Linked DNA regions of Struthio camelus. The protein of the gene in region 1 interacts with the protein of each later gene in a biochemical or structural test. Links are inferred from orthologs where the notes say so. Each region holds a gene or a part of one and is shown on either strand. Other genes may lie near its edges.

Region 1 (7,533 bases):
ATGGCATCGCTTGGCATCAAGTTTCAGCTATCATAAATCAGCAACGTATTAAAAAATCAGTCTATTACAATCCAAGACATGAACATGACAAAACATAATCCAAGACAGCAGAAAGCAAACTGCAGGCAGTGCAGTCCTCCTCAGTTGGAATTCTTTGCTTTCTAGTGTTAACTTGTAAACTATGCAGGTCATAGAAGTGTTACAAAACACACAGATGCGTTTTAAAAGCCTGATGTTCCCAGCCCCAGACAAATTACTCTTATGCTATACCTGAATAGAGGGAGACTAGGAGGTAGTAAGGAACTTGCTTTTCTTTCGCTTGGGGCACAAGGTGCTGGAAAGAGAATTTTTTTCTTTGAGGTGTACTTTGTTGATCAATATACAAACTTGTTTGGTCCTGCGAATAATTCAGAAGCTACAGTTTCCTACGCAGCATTTTTGTTGACGTTTTGAGGAATGCTGGCCTCGTTTCTTCCACAGCAAAATATCATCTTATCCTGCCAGTCTGTGATGTCATCTGTGTTGACATATGAAGTTAACAGCCTGGAAAATGCACGAGGCATCCTTAGATGCCTGATACGGTATTTCTAAGCCTGAAGCCTTGCCTCAAAAGCTCAGGGCCTCTACCCCAACTTTAGCGTGCTGCATCAGCCATAGCCACACTGCCTGTGGCACATTTGTCAGCATGTGCTTGCACTGCTTCCAGTGCAAACACCCTGCAGTCTTTCTACGATAATCCTCCCATCTCTACCAGGTCCCCTTTAGGACTAACGGACAATGGAAAGCAATGCAAACCATCTAGCCTGCAGCTGTTGTTCAGCAAGCTGCCTGGGAATAAGTCTCACTTGTTGTATATTTTTCGAAAGGTATTTCTGAAGGAAAAGTTCCTGAACAATCTGGTCTAATTGGACCTGCTTGGAGCAGAAGTCTGGACTAGATAAACGCCAGAAGCCCCTTCCAAACTGCATGAGTCTAAAAAGTTAGGAAAATGTTGACATTTATCAAAACTCAACTTCTGACATGATAGCAACAAAGCCACAGGAGTTATCTGATACGGTATTTCTAAGCTGGCAAAAGTTCTAGCAGAGACAAGTATACCAGCAAGAAACTTGTTCTGCTGGTTGGGTGTTGGTATATTTATAGTTGCACCTTAACAAGAAAGCTTCTTCTTTATCAGTAGGCCTGAAAATAGCAACTTTTTATACACAGAGGAATGCAGCAACATAAGGAACTAAATTTCTTAGGCCAAGACACAAGTCCCGTCTTAAAAGCACATGTTGAAAAGAAATAAAATTAGTTGTGTTCTTGAATTTTTACATGACTTAGTAAATGCAAATTTTTAAAGGCCATTTCATTACTGGATGCTGTCATTAGGAAAAGTCTTTTATTTTGAAGTTTCTAAGAAATAAAAACTTTAAGAATAAGCAGATCTTTGATTAGAAAGCAATTCTGTTAGGATGCATTTCAGATGAATCAAGGGACCATCAAATTCCATTGTCTATGTCATTTTCTTCTCAGAAAAACATCAAAGGACAACAAAGGAACTCAATGTATTATCATTTACTGGTACTCTAGAACTGATCTAGTATGATGTGGTCTTACAGCCTAATTAGGCAAGTATGGGCTACTTCCAATAGCACGTTGGAACTTTGATCGTGTTCCAAATTCCTGTCAGAATAAAATAGTCAGCTAAACATTAAATGTCCTCTCACCTACACCTAGCATTAGCTTCCATTCTGCACAGCAGTATAAACTCTTAGGTGTGAACAATGAAAGCTGAGATTTGCACCACCAAAGTTTATTCTGGCTCCAAGCATATGTTCCCGTGGAATCAATTTTTTTCCCTTTCTGCTTATGCTGAGTGTTTGCACTGGCACAGGCATAGGCAATGGACAGAACTGGGGTTCAGTCATAATGTAAATAAAGCTAGAGAAAATCATCACTCAGACATGCCTCAGTAGACTGCTGAGCCCTAACAGACATCTGCTCTCTTTGGGCTTTTCAAGCTGTTTTCCTGTCTTTTATCTAATAAGTTTCCACAACCCATTAACTTTTAAAACTTGCAGGTAACAGGTGGAAGAAAGAAAGAAACTGGTATCTCATCATTATGCCTAGCCCTTAACAGAATTCCACAAATTATGCTATTCCGAAGTGTAAATGCTTTGAAGAACTAGGTTGTAATCTTCAGAGCATACATAAATATCTGGAGCTTCCCAAACCCTACTAAAAATACCTGAAAGCATCCCTAAAAGATGCAGCAAGATCCACTGAAGGACTTCATGAAGTCCTTCCTACAGTTCACTGGAATAGAGAAATGACTGCCACAAAGGCAGATACTCATTGTGTAGGGGGGAAGGGAGGGGAAGAGAAATCAAACTGAGATGCAAGGTTTATCAATTGATTATCAGAACATGCAGGTCATTCTGATACAATGACTGAGGCCAAGACAACTTAGAGGAACTTCCCACTGCAGTAAACAATATAGACGTTTTCAGGGAAAATAAAAGCTGATGTTAAAAAATAACCAACCAAAAAGAACCCCCCCCCCCCGAGCAAAACTATCAAACTTCAATCAAGTGCAGAACTAAGGCATCCAAAAAACTATTAATTCTCACTTAACAGAAAAGAGGCAAAACAGCTACCCACTTAAAGTAGGACCCTTTGTTTTTAAAATACAGCTACGGCGCAGTGTCACTACAGAACAGAATTAATACTATTTTGACACCTTGCATATTTCCAGAAATGAGGATTTTTTTACAGTGTAAGCTAAATTACCTAAATTACATATCTGTACTCTCAAACCTATTTGACTGTCACTTCTGCCTGAGAACAGAACATGCTGAGAAATAGCGTCTGAGAATAGGAAATCTGGAACCTGTCCATTTAATACATTTTTTGTTCTCTTTACCACACTTCATCATTAATGATAATTGTATTGAAAAAACCTTCACAAGCTCCCCATGTCTTTGGGCTGCAAACAGCTATTTTAGTTCATTCTTGGATTAGCTCATTTCAGCTGTGCTGGGGAAAGAGCCAGGGAAGAAAGGGGAACGGGTGATGGCAAATGTCAAAGTGACATGCACTCCTCAGATTTGAGAGGGGAAGAGCAAGCTGAGATTTCTAGGGATTATGACTGCATAGGCCCAAAAAAACCCTATATCTCAGTGAACCAAGTTTCAAATTTTTTTGTAGAGTGGCAAGCATTCTGCACATGCTAAAAAATTCCAAGTCAGTTTTCTAAAATTCTGATTTCCTGCAAATAAACAGAATGAGCTGCAAAGACAGTAAAATCCAGTCAAAGCCAACGTTTAGTACAATCCCAGCCAAGGTGTTGGTTTCTGTAGAAACCAACGAATGTTTTGACTTTGTTACTCGACTTTCTGTAAATTTAGATATTAATTTCTTAAAAACCATCCCTTTTGCAAAGTATGTTCCCTTCCAAAAGCATGATAAAATCCCTTCCAGGAGCACAGTGCGCAGCCACTAAGGCACAAAGTGCTCCATGGTGTTTCAGGGATAACTTTCTACGCTGATATAGCACAAATCTGCCTGGAAAAGGGTGGAAAATTTTGGCTATTAGAGAGAAGACTGACTGTGCGACCGGCTAGTCATAGCCAGGAACTGAAAACCAGCCTCCTAACTTTGGGAAAGCAGATAACGAAGGGCAGCTAGTTCGAAAATCCCCTCTGAGGTCACCCGCGCCACAAGGAGGGCCTGAGGAGGCGAAAACCCACTGACACGCCTCGTTCGCCAGGCCCGCAGCAAAGCGTGGCGAGGCGCGGCTCCGCCCACCCGCTCTGCCTCTCTTCTCCGTTAAGCCGACGGGCAAACGGCAGCTCCGGCCAGCCCGGCCCTGGCGAGCGGAGTGGCGGCGCGGCGCGGCCGGCTCCGCCCGCCCACCCGCGGTGGCAGGCGCCCAGCCGGGGCCGCTCGCCGCCTCCCGCAGCGGAGGGGAGCGGGGCGGAGCCGCCCGCCCCCGGCGCGGCCCGCTCGGCCGCAGGGGCCGCCACAGGCCCGGCCCGGCCCGCGCCTCAGGGAGCCGCGCGCGCGCCGCCGCTGCCGCCGCCCCGCCCCCGCCGCACGCGCGCGCACGCCACCGCCAGCGGCGGCGGCCAAGGGGAGCGCCGGGGAGTTGCTCTCGGGAGCACGTGGTCTTTCACGTCCCTCGCGCATGACGTCACCGCGCTTTGCGAGACCTCCCGTCCATCCCGCCAATCCGCCGCCCGCTTAGTGGAGGGGCGCTGCCCGGCGGCGAGCGCACCACTCAGCGCGCGGCTTGCATAGCGGCCGGCCGGCCGCCGCCCCGCCTTTCCCCGGCGCGGCGCAAGGAGGGAGGGAGAAGGGCCCGCTGGAAGTTAAGATGGCGGCGCGTGTGTGAGTGCGGTGCGGGCTGAGCCTCTTCCCGGCACTCCGCTGCGGGCTCCCTCGTCCCCCGCGCCCCGCGTCGCGGCGGGCGAGCCAAGGACTCCGCCGGCGGCCCCGAGCGCCCCCGGGGGAGGGAAAGACGCCGAGCGCCCCCCTCCCCCCGCCGCCCCCCCCGCCCCCATTGTGTGCCCGGCGCCTGCCCGCCTGCCTCCCTCCGCCGGGGGGGGCAGCGGCGGCGGCGCGGAACATGACCTCGATCCACTTCGTGGTGCACCCGCTCCCGGGCACCGAGGACCAGCTCAATGACCGGTGAGGGGCAGGCCGGTGCGGCGGGGGGCGGAGGGGAGGGGCCGGCCTGGCGCAGCTCGGCCCCCGTGGGTGAGGGGAGGGGCCGGCGGCGGCGGCCGGAGCGCGGCGCGCCGAGGGCGCCCTGGGGCAGGGGCAGCGGCGGCGCCGGGCCGCGGGGGGGCGGCCCCGGTGTCGTCGTCGTCCTCTCCCCCCCCCCCCCCCGTCGCCCCCGCGCCGGGCGCTCCCGGCGCCTTCCCCGCGCGGGGCCGCGGCCGTCCTCTCGCTGCGGCCGCGCCGGCGCCGTCAACTTTGCCCCCCGCGGGAGAGGGGGTGGCGGGCCGCGACCTCCGCCGTGGGCCCGCGGCGGGGCCTCGGCTCCGCGTGCCCCGTGCCGATGTCCGCCCCAGGAAGGAGGTTATCGTGGCTCCCGGGCCGAGCGCGAGGAGGAGCGAGAATGTGTCCATTTTAATCAGAGATGAATCGAGGCAGACAATGCAGATGGGAGACCGCGGTGTGTGTGTGCGAGTGGGGAGGGGAGGATAATAGAGACGTGCATGAAGGATGTAACGCGTATGCACGCTTGGAGTCTGCTTTATGTTCCTCTTTATTTATTATTGCGGGTTATTTAAACAAGAAGGGTGGCCTGATCTTCAGATCGCTGGTTGTATGCGGCTTGGCTCAGCTTGGTATGACAGATAGAACAGAAGCACAGTGTTTTTTGGAAATCTCATAGCTAACTTTATTTTGGTTTATGGGAGAGAAATTGCAGGCTGGGAGAAAATAAAATACTTGGGAGAAAATTAAATCTATTACCTAAGTAGATTTCATTGCTGGATCTGTGTTTTACAGCCTTCTGTGTGGCTGTCAAATATTTCTTCTGTAGCAATTACTAATTGTATATGTTATAGTTAGTAAATTTCACTTGTGCCTGGTTATACGTAAATCCTTAAGAAATATGTAACTTTGCACTTTGAATTTCTTATGAATTTATGTATGAGCAAATCAAAATCTTTAATCAACACTGGATAGAAACCTAAGTATTTTTTACACTATAGCTAAATACTATTTAATATTTATCAGTGCATGTAAGTTTTTATAAATATACGTACGCTTGATTATATTTTTGTCTTCCTGGATTTTACTAAGTTTGAGACTAGATCACGGTCCATCTCACTCCACTGTTGGTAGTTTAGGCTAGGAAAAGTGATCTGTCTTTCCCGAGATGGCTCTTGTTAAAACACAGCTGAAGTTCAAGGGCTTATGAGGAGGAAAATAGGTCATTGTAAAGATAAATTTCTCCCAAACTGCATCATCCCTGTCCTTAAGCAGGGAGAAGATATTTCTAATGATAAAATAGGTCTGTGACCCAAAGCATGTTAATGTGGAGTGCATTTTTTTTTTTTTTCCCTTACCTGGATAGTACATTTTACAGGACTCGTTCTTCATGTGCCTCCTAGGAGGAGGCCTAACCTTTCCTAAGGGATTGATTGGCTTTCTCCACAGTCGTGCATTCAAAGTTGACCTACAGCTTCTTTCTTTAGAGTGACAAACTGTGAGAGGTAATGCTGTACTAGGAGTGCTTCTGCTTCTTCATCCTACTATTTTGATTTAGGGTAAGATCTAGGACTTTGATCTTGAAAGGACCTCAGTGATTTTTCTTTTTCATTTTTTTTAACGTTGATAGGCCCTTAGAAAACATTTAGCATGTAATTATCACACTTAGCTCAGAATGAAAGAGCTCATCTGATATTCTTTTAGTATGTCACCTGTTTTGTTGACTTATTGATGTTAAATACGATGTCGCTTCAGTCCTCATAATGCTTTTTTTTTTTAACCACAGCAGCAGCTCTTACAACTTTTATTTGATACAGGAAGCTTCATAAAATGTGGTAATTAATATATGGAGGAAGCTACAGAAGTGCTATTAAGTACTGACTTATTCTGAAAAATCAAGTGGCTCCTTGATCTGAGCTGCAAATCATAAATTTCCACTTCAGAAACATAATTTGACTAGAAATGTGGTAGCTATGTATCAGAACTTGTAATGCAGTGAAATCAGAATGATTCATAAATAGGACTGAGGCACATATGTATGTGCTGGAACTGGCAGTTCAATTTTATCAGTAGCATTGCTGCTAATTACTATTCTGTCAATATGTATCAGGATAGCCTAATAAATTTTCATATACGTGTACATGGAAGTTAGGATCTTGGAGCATCTCATGCATCTGCTGTGTTTCTTCCCTTTCTCACCCTTTAAAGGCTTTTTTGCATCTGTGCTACAAACAGCAGTCGGTAGCCCAAGTTATTTTTTTTCCCCATCTCCATTCTGAATGATAATTGCATCTCAATAATCAAAATTTCTCAATTTTTGGGACTATAATTCTGTGTTGCATACTTTCATTAGTAATGTACATAGCACGTGATAAACTGTATTACTTTCATGAGCACAGTTCATGAGTAGCTAGATGTTCTGCATGTAAGGAACAGTCACATTTTAAAACAATGCATTTATCAGTGTAGCCCCCATGCATTCAGGATACTTGAGTTTTGGATTTTTATAATAAAAGTATTTGATATGTCTGCACAGGTTATTAAGCATAGTGTATGAAAGGGGTGAAGTGATTTAGAAACCATCCTTCTCTTAAAGTAGATTGTATGTCTACTGCAGAATGTAACTGTAGAACCACAAATGATTGGGAATAGTCCTGACAACATGCACACATGATCTGAAAGTACTTTTTACCGAGTTTTTTTTTTTTTTTTTTTTAGATACTTATGTTGTACCTTGATGGTAGGTACTAGACCTCTCTCAAATAAACTGACACAACATTAGCTTGTCCGTGACACTCATTTAGATGTCTGGAAGCTAGCTGCTAT
Region 2 (7,869 bases), on another chromosome or scaffold:
AATCATGGAGCAGTAAGTTTTATCTTAAATGCTGAATGCAGCTCTTCAGACAAATTCTCTAGCCAGTAGTAAAAGTGGGTGGAGGCCAAGTGCTCTATTCACGTAAACTATTGGTTCTTTTACTGAAGAAATTTGTGCTGGGGGTGGGAGTCTTCCATTCTTACTTGAATTTCTTCTCTGCTGCTCAGTTGCTCTATGACTCCTTCAAAAGTCACCCAACTTTTCCTACCTTGCTTTGCCCCTCTTTATGAAAAGAAGAATGAATTGTTTACTGGAGAAAGATTGAGGACAATGCATGTGCAGACCTTTGGATCTATTGTAAAGATCCAGATGAAACCTACAAAGTGACTTATATCAGGAGTACCTACCTAAACCTTCAGCTAAAATATTTTAAATTAAGGATTATCATAAGTATTAGTAGTACTGTTTCTGTAACTCTAAAAGTGCAATGTCAGCTTTCCTTTTCTCACCGACCTTGCATGCAGCCCGGGAATCTGGTATTGAAGGCTTTCTCAAAATCGTCTTCTGACATCCAGCGGCCCAGCTGGCTAGTTCCGTTTTTAGGGATTGGAGTGGTATCTCTCTGTTCTGGAGTGATAATGACAGTTTTGCTCTCAATTCTTGCCACATCTCTTGGATCAGTGAGAGCCAACCAGCTGTATTTCACCAAAAATGATGAAATTAGACTTTAATCATTTAAAAAATATATAACTTTTTAAACCCTTCTGTAGGACCCCTATAGCACAAAAGGGTAAAACGTTTTGAAAGGGTAGAACTTAAGTGACAAAATCAATGCAACTGAGACAGCCTCAAAGATTAGTCAAATTCGTTCTCTCAAACAAAGTATCTCAGGACATTGCAGAATGAATAGTGAATTATATGGCTTGGGAAATTCTCATTACTCCTTAATACTCTTCTGCCTCTTACATCAGCTTTATTCCCTGTTGCTAGTTTGCAGGGAAAAGTTAAACTCATTTAATTCTCATTCTTATTGGTACAGATAAGTAAAAATAGTTTTACATAGGGACCACAAAGTGATGATGTCTTGAGCAAAATGTATTCCAAGCAAGTACTTTAAATGTTCACATATATGTCTGCGGGACCAGAATCCAGCCTAGTGGATTGGCACTGTCATTTAAGTTAAAGGCATTGCAAAAGAAATATTGAGTATTACCATGATCATAAAAAATAAAGCTGGCTGATTAGACAGGATTATTTTTTCCTCCTTCAAATAATTTATTTGCCATTTATTTACAATAGAGAGGATTGCTTTACCATTTTCACCTCTGTGCCTAGAAATTTTCTATGAGGATAAAAATGTTCTAGCTGGGCTGTCATAACCATCATCACTACAGCTAAGCATATAATTAACAATGAATAATTTATCTGGTGAATTTTGCCCTTTTCTCTCTCAAATAGTCTGCAAACAGATTGCCAAATTCTTGTACTTCTGAGTTATTCAAAAGTCTTTGCAGATTTCTTCCATGAAGATTTCTTGGTCAGCACGTAATTCCCAAGCATGTACTTGTTAATATTCTCCTTTCATGTTGGGTTAGTTGGGAGAGATGAGGGAATATTTGAAAAAAGTATTTGCTGAATACATTACAGTCAAAACTCATTGGCACAATATGAATAATGCCTGTGCTGAATAGTATTTGAACACCCACAGAGCTATTTGAATGCCACAGAAAAGTATTTGATGAATAAACTAATTGCCTGAAATAGTAGAATTCTTCAAAAGATATATTTGCTAAAAAATATTTAACCATTGCTAATGATTAGTTACATAAGTCTCATGATATTGTTTCAGTTCTCCAATTTCTGTAACTGATAAATAGAGATAATGTACAGTTGGTAGTCCAATTGATTAATATAGTTTACGTTAATTTTGAGAGGAAAATTGTGCTCTTCCTATTTAACCTATGTAAGCTACAGTTCCAAAATGCTCGTGAAAAGTAAATATTAAAGGATTTTGAGCACTTTTAAATGCAAACAGATAGAAAATGCTTATCACTATTCTGAGCTCCTACTTGACTTTCTTTTATGCCACTCACCAGTTCTCATACTTGCTCAGCTTCTTAATCATGCCTTGTTCTACCATGATGTCCAGAATTTTTTGGTTTTCTTCTTCTGAGCCATCACAGATATGAATGCTCTCAGGCTGGCACAGCTTGGCATTGCTTTCAATGAACTCTCTCACTTCTGGAGGCAGGCTCTGCAAATCCCCCTGGATAACCTTGGGGATGATGTTTAGCTCGGTCTTCAACTGTGGGGGCATTACCGTAGCCTGCAGTGGATCTGGATGACGGGTTTGAAATGCTGATCACAAGCTAAAATTAAATGTTGTCTGTTAGCATGTTATGTCATTCTAACCGGCATAACTCTGCTTTCCTACAATGCATAATAGAAAGGTAGAATTTGTAGAAGATTTGATTGTGTACTTCTACTTATAAATCAATATAAAGAACTCAGATTGTTGGTAATTTAAAGCTGGAAAAAATACATAGACACCATTCTACTTACTTTCTTTAAAAGATCTCAGAGAGGATTTTGCTGTGCCTTTCAGTTGATCCGATTTCCCTTGCTTTGGAATACTCTTGTGATCATTGGTTTCAAAGGAGGCATTCTCCTTTCTTAAATAGTCTTCGTGGAAGTGCCCAGCCCACTAGGTGAGGTGAGGGAGGCTTGTCCTTGATGTCACCACTGAATGCGCCTTGGGACACTGCCACTGACACATTGCCATCATGAAGAGTTGTCAACAAAACAGCCCTGAAGAGGTAATCATTTAACAGGTTTGATTAATGAATGCTGAAAGCAGTGATTCTTAGACCCTCGTTTGCTGTCTGAAGCAGTTAGAAAATTTATCCGTTTGTCCAAACTTTGATCTAGTTCAGCTTTGAAACCCAAAGCATCATAATTTCTTGGTGTGTGGGAAAGGTCGAGTACAAAGAGTATCTGGAACAGGGAACGGGGGGTCAGCCAGGCAAAGCACAGTTGGTGCGTTCTGTAAGCAGCTACTTGCTAGTTGGCTGTGAAGTGGAGGCTGGTCCAAGGTGTGCTTACTTACCTTGGGAACATTGCCTGATCTAGGGATGAAGTTCAGCAGTCACCAGTGACAGGCCTGAGTACCCACTATATATGCCTACAACCTTATTTTTGTCCATGCAATTCTAAAAATACAAGCAATGCAAATCTCAGCGTTGGGTTTCCTATAGTGCTGGAGAGAAAAAGCTTTTGATTATGGCTCACTTTAGCTGAACAGTTATTTTCCATTATGACAAGCGCAAAGAAGAGGCAGGTCAGCAATTGTCTCAGTGATCAAACCCCTCCCTATGATCTTATTTGTAAACTTACTGGGGGTTTAGGGGGGGCATGAAATATTAACCCATCTTTAAATTAGTACCCAAAGACAAGGCACAAAACTGCTCAGGAATGTGACTGCATACTTGCATCATGTGTAGGTATAAAGTACGCTATATATACATATGCATATACATATTTACATACATGTCTTACCATGATTGTGTAGATACTTACAGACAAAGAAAAGTGAAGAAATAAGATCTGCTGCCTTTTCATCTCACTCCATTTACACCCAGTCCCAGTAAAGTGTCTGAGGACTGGGTGACGTGATCCTTCATGTCAAACTCTTGCAAGTATTGATGCCAACGGGGCTTCCACCCCAGGTATAATAAATACATGATTGACAACAGTTTGCACAACAGGCAATCTGGCAATCTAAACCAAGGTTGAGGGACTTCTTTAAAGCAACAAAATTGATGTGAGTGTACTACATAAAAGAGGTTCACAACCGGCCACCCACCCAGGTTCATGCCAGTCAATAATACTTTTCTAGAGGGCTTTCATTGATACAGACAGCACTGGCTTGCAAGCCCTGAATGGCCAGGCTTGGCAGAGTAGCATGAATCAGGACTCCTGCCAGGCTGGCAGCTTTCGTATGTAAAACACCATGGAGTTGAAGACTCAAGTGAAGTGGCCGGTGACTACAGGAACGCTTCCCTGGGATTGTATCCTCCTATCTTTCCTGTAAAGCCTTTTATTATGTTTTGTAAAAGCAAAGCAAAGAAAATAGTGAAGTAACAGGGGCTGTCCTTGATGCACAGCAAGGCCAAACACTCCTGCAAAAAAATAAAAAAAATCTGGTAGGATAAGAGGTGCTAAAGATTGCTCCAGAAGGGGCTTGGTGGCAAGGAAAGGTAAAGTCAAAGACAGCTTAATAATGACAGCGGTGGTGTTTATGGTTTGGGTCTGCGTACTGTGTCACAAGTAGAGCTGATCGGAAATATTTTGGCCATCCATTTTCTTATTAAAATATATGATTAAATACTTCCTTAAAAAAATGCAATATAATCTTCAACAATACTAAGCACACTGATATTTCAGTGAAGAACAAAAATACTCAGAGTGCTTGGCGGTGGCCAAATAAAAGTCATTATACACACAAATAACAAAGAGTAAAACAGTTTGTAGAAAGAAAGACGGTAGGCTTGAAAATGATCTTAGTGCACCACGAGTAAAGCCAGAACAAAAGCTTAAAATTGACAGTGTAACAGAGCGGGATTAGTCCTAGTGTCTCTTCAGTTTTGAGTACAGGGAAAAAAATCCCCAACCCAGAGCATTAGTTTCTGCCAATTAAATTATAGTCAGGCAGGTGTTGTGCAAATTTTCTCACACTGCAATCCTAACCTCCCACAATCTTGCTATACAAACTGTGGGCTTCTCTTGAGAAGACACTAAATATGCCAAATTGGTGGCACTGTGTTATGAACATATGTCCATTAAAAATCACGTTAAGGATTCCAAATGTTTTTCATTTGTGATGGCAGCAGGGCTTGAGTGCAGATGTCCACTGGGAATTCTAGACACTTAAGCATCAAATTACTTTTATTTAGGTAACACCTCTCATCAGAGGATCTCAAAGCATATTACAAACACTCAGTGAGCCTCAAGTCCCTATATAAAACATGCATAGTACTTTGTACTGTGGAACAATGGAATAATTGGAGCATATACAGGTTAGGGTCAAGATTTTTCCAAGAACCTTCTCATTTGGGCGATTCAACTTTTAGATAAGCAACATGAGGTGTTAAAGGTTGAATCTGAAGTGATTGTAAATTCTCATAACTCCCAGTGGCTCCCACAAAAAATGCAAGTTGCATCTCCAGTTCAGCTGTAATGGTTTTGAGGTGCTCACCCAACACCAGTGTGTGCTGCTGTATGCAATATATGCACCTGTTTTTTGGATTTAGTAAGCTGGGAAATTTCGCTAGTGAGAAATATGGGATGTGGGGAGATGTAATGGTTTTTTTCAAAAAATTGTCTGTAATGTAAAGTTTTTTTTCCATTTAAATGAAAAATCTTTATTTTTTTTTTTTTAGCAGTAAATGTATTATAATACCTCTCATCTACTAGCTGGCATGACTCCTTTGGTTTAAACTTTTTTGGCACCTTTCCTCTGTACTTTTTTGACACTTGAAAGTGATGCTCATCAGGTGTCTTCTTGGGAAGCTGTCAAACTATTTAAATAAGTGTGAATCTGGCATTTCTAGATGATCGTGTTCAATAAGTATCTTGAAAGATGTGTTTTTAGGATGTTTGCTTTGATGGACACCATTCAGGCTGCTCAAAATAAAGGTTTTGAGCACTTCAATTTAGACTGACTTACTAGAACTCAGAGCAGCAAATGTGAAGGTTCTTTAGGTGCTCAGAGAGTGTCACGAGAAAGTTTTAGACTTCATCGCTACACAGAGGTGCAATAAAGCACTCAGTGAGATTTGAAAATTGTTAATGGCATATAATAGAAACATTAACCCCCACCCATTGCTAATCATCCTAGATAATCATCGTCACTTCACAACAAGTTTTTATGTGATACCTGTTGTTTTGTTATAAAAGGATAGGATTGTTTTAAAAGATTCTCTGGGCTATGCTGCTAACTCGAGAACATTTTCTTAATTGTTTTTTTCTTCTATGATGCTGTGCTCAGTGGACATTGAACATACTGCAGTTGTCACTGTATTAGATGCTGCAGAAACCCAGATCCAAGGGCAGTTCTTGCCCAGCTAAAGGGACAGCTTACAGAGACTACATCAGGGAATATTCCCTGAATTTTACCAAAGAAAACCTGAACTACACAACTTGCCTTCAATTGCAAAAGACTCTGCAACAGAGCCAATGTTTATTCCAAACTCCCCACACTCCTCTGTGATATTTCCTCCTCACAACTACATTTATTTCGGCTGGTTCTTCAGCACCTGACACAGCTGCATTAGATTTGGTGGAGGATCTGGCCAGAGGGGCCGCATGTTCCTTTCCCTGTGGGCTGTGCTGTGTGAAAGGTGAAACTGAGCCTCTGGGACCAGCAAGGATAGAGAGCAGCATACTGTGAGTACAGTGTTTCCTGTCTTACCTCCCCCTCTCCAGTCATAACTGATGCACCATTACTTGTCTCTAGGCAAGTTAATCTTAATACGTCGGTGGATTGCCATGGCAGTATAACTTTTTTGTCTGTCTCCAAAGTTAGGTGGCTTGTTCTGTTTGCAGAGAAGTGGCAACGGATAAGCCTGATACTTTTTCCCCTGATTGTGTGCCACTTTCACTAGCCATTCCAGCATTTTTATTTTGACAACAGACACATGGAAATTTCTCAAAAGTAATGGAAGTAAATCGCCATGCGTTAGTACCTGCTCCTGTTTTCTAATCAAAGTCATGAACCTTGGATGCTTAGTAGCACCTCGAGGGCTCAACCCTGAGCTGTGCTTTAGGGGAAGTCCTTGTTGTGCCACACAGTACATGATGCCAAGACTGACATTATGCCACAGGCAGATGGCTTTCTTGCTTGTCATTCCTCTGCTTTGGCAAGGGAACTATGTACTCTGGGACTTTTCCTTACAAGCTGACTTTTACAGGCTCTGAGATATGGTTATACTCACCAAGCGGGGGTGAAGGTTTTCTCTTTTCTGTTTTCTTTTGTAAGGCATGAAAACTGGAGCTGTGGGTAGGGTGGTACTGTGGCTCATATACTGACTGTCTGTAAAGGATGCTGTGGTTTTAATTCCACTTTTCCACCTTTTAATGTGTGTTGCTGAGATGGGTTGTCAGTGTGACAAGATAGCACAGACCCAGGCCATAATCCAGTCCTGAGACAGAAGATCCTTCCAGCAGCTTGAGGGTTTATAGACATTTAGCCTCACACTCTGATTTTACACCTGGATCTCATGTGGGAGACAGCACCGCATGCTCAGAGAATTTCCAGAGTGAGGAAGCAAGGCAAGCGGTCCCCATTAGTGGTCTTGGTTCATGTAGTGGTTCTGAGCAGCATGTTACTCATTGTTCATCCTTCTCTCTCACCACCTTATTAGTTCTGGAGATGCGGTTGATTCACATCATCTTAAAGCTAATGAGTAGTCACTTTTGGAGCACCCTTCTCCACCTGTGACTCTAATCTGAGAACTCTTCTCCCTTACGTAACACCCACAGCAGGCATCAGTGTGAATATATGGGTAATGGGATCTGTAGCCACTGCTACCTGAAGAGTAGTCATGTACTAGTAACCCTCTGAAGTGTGAGTTTAGGAGCTCTCCTAATCTACTATGGAGGATCTGATAGGCCCATGGAGAGTTTGGGCCCAAGAAGAGTGTGACTGGCTTTATCCTAGCCAGCACAAGGTTGATAAGAGCATAAGTATGATTTTTGCATGGTTAATACATTTTTTGGCTGGATGCACAGCAGAACCGCAGCCAGGAGAGAAGGGGACAAACTGTACTAAACAGAGTGGAAAATAGTCAGCATAAGGTTGTGTGTTTCCCTTCACCTATGCAGCATCTGCTCTGTTCAGTCATACAAAGC

Evidence for each region.
Region 2: the proteins of UBR5 (region 1) and PCK1 form a complex in vitro, tested with the Homo sapiens proteins (2 studies listed by BioGRID, with this or other methods). The link is inferred for Struthio camelus from reciprocal best matches to the Homo sapiens genes UBR5 and PCK1.

Annotation. Positions count from the first base shown.
Region 1 is NC_090943.1:145,520,653-145,528,185, forward strand, and holds the start of UBR5 (E3 ubiquitin-protein ligase UBR5), read left to right. Parts: upstream 1-4,502; 5' UTR 4,503-4,612; coding exon 4,613-4,674; intron 4,675-7,533. UniProt on the Homo sapiens protein: E3 ubiquitin-protein ligase involved in different protein quality control pathways in the cytoplasm and nucleus. Mainly acts as a ubiquitin chain elongator that extends pre-ubiquitinated substrates.
Region 2 is NC_090959.1:12,995,153-13,003,021, reverse strand, and holds the start of PCK1 (phosphoenolpyruvate carboxykinase, cytosolic [GTP]), read right to left. Parts: upstream 3,039-7,869; 5' UTR 2,524-3,038; intron 2,331-2,523; 5' UTR 2,279-2,330; coding exon 2,055-2,278; intron 657-2,054; coding exon 475-656; intron 1-474. UniProt on the Homo sapiens protein: Cytosolic phosphoenolpyruvate carboxykinase that catalyzes the reversible decarboxylation and phosphorylation of oxaloacetate (OAA) and acts as the rate-limiting enzyme in gluconeogenesis.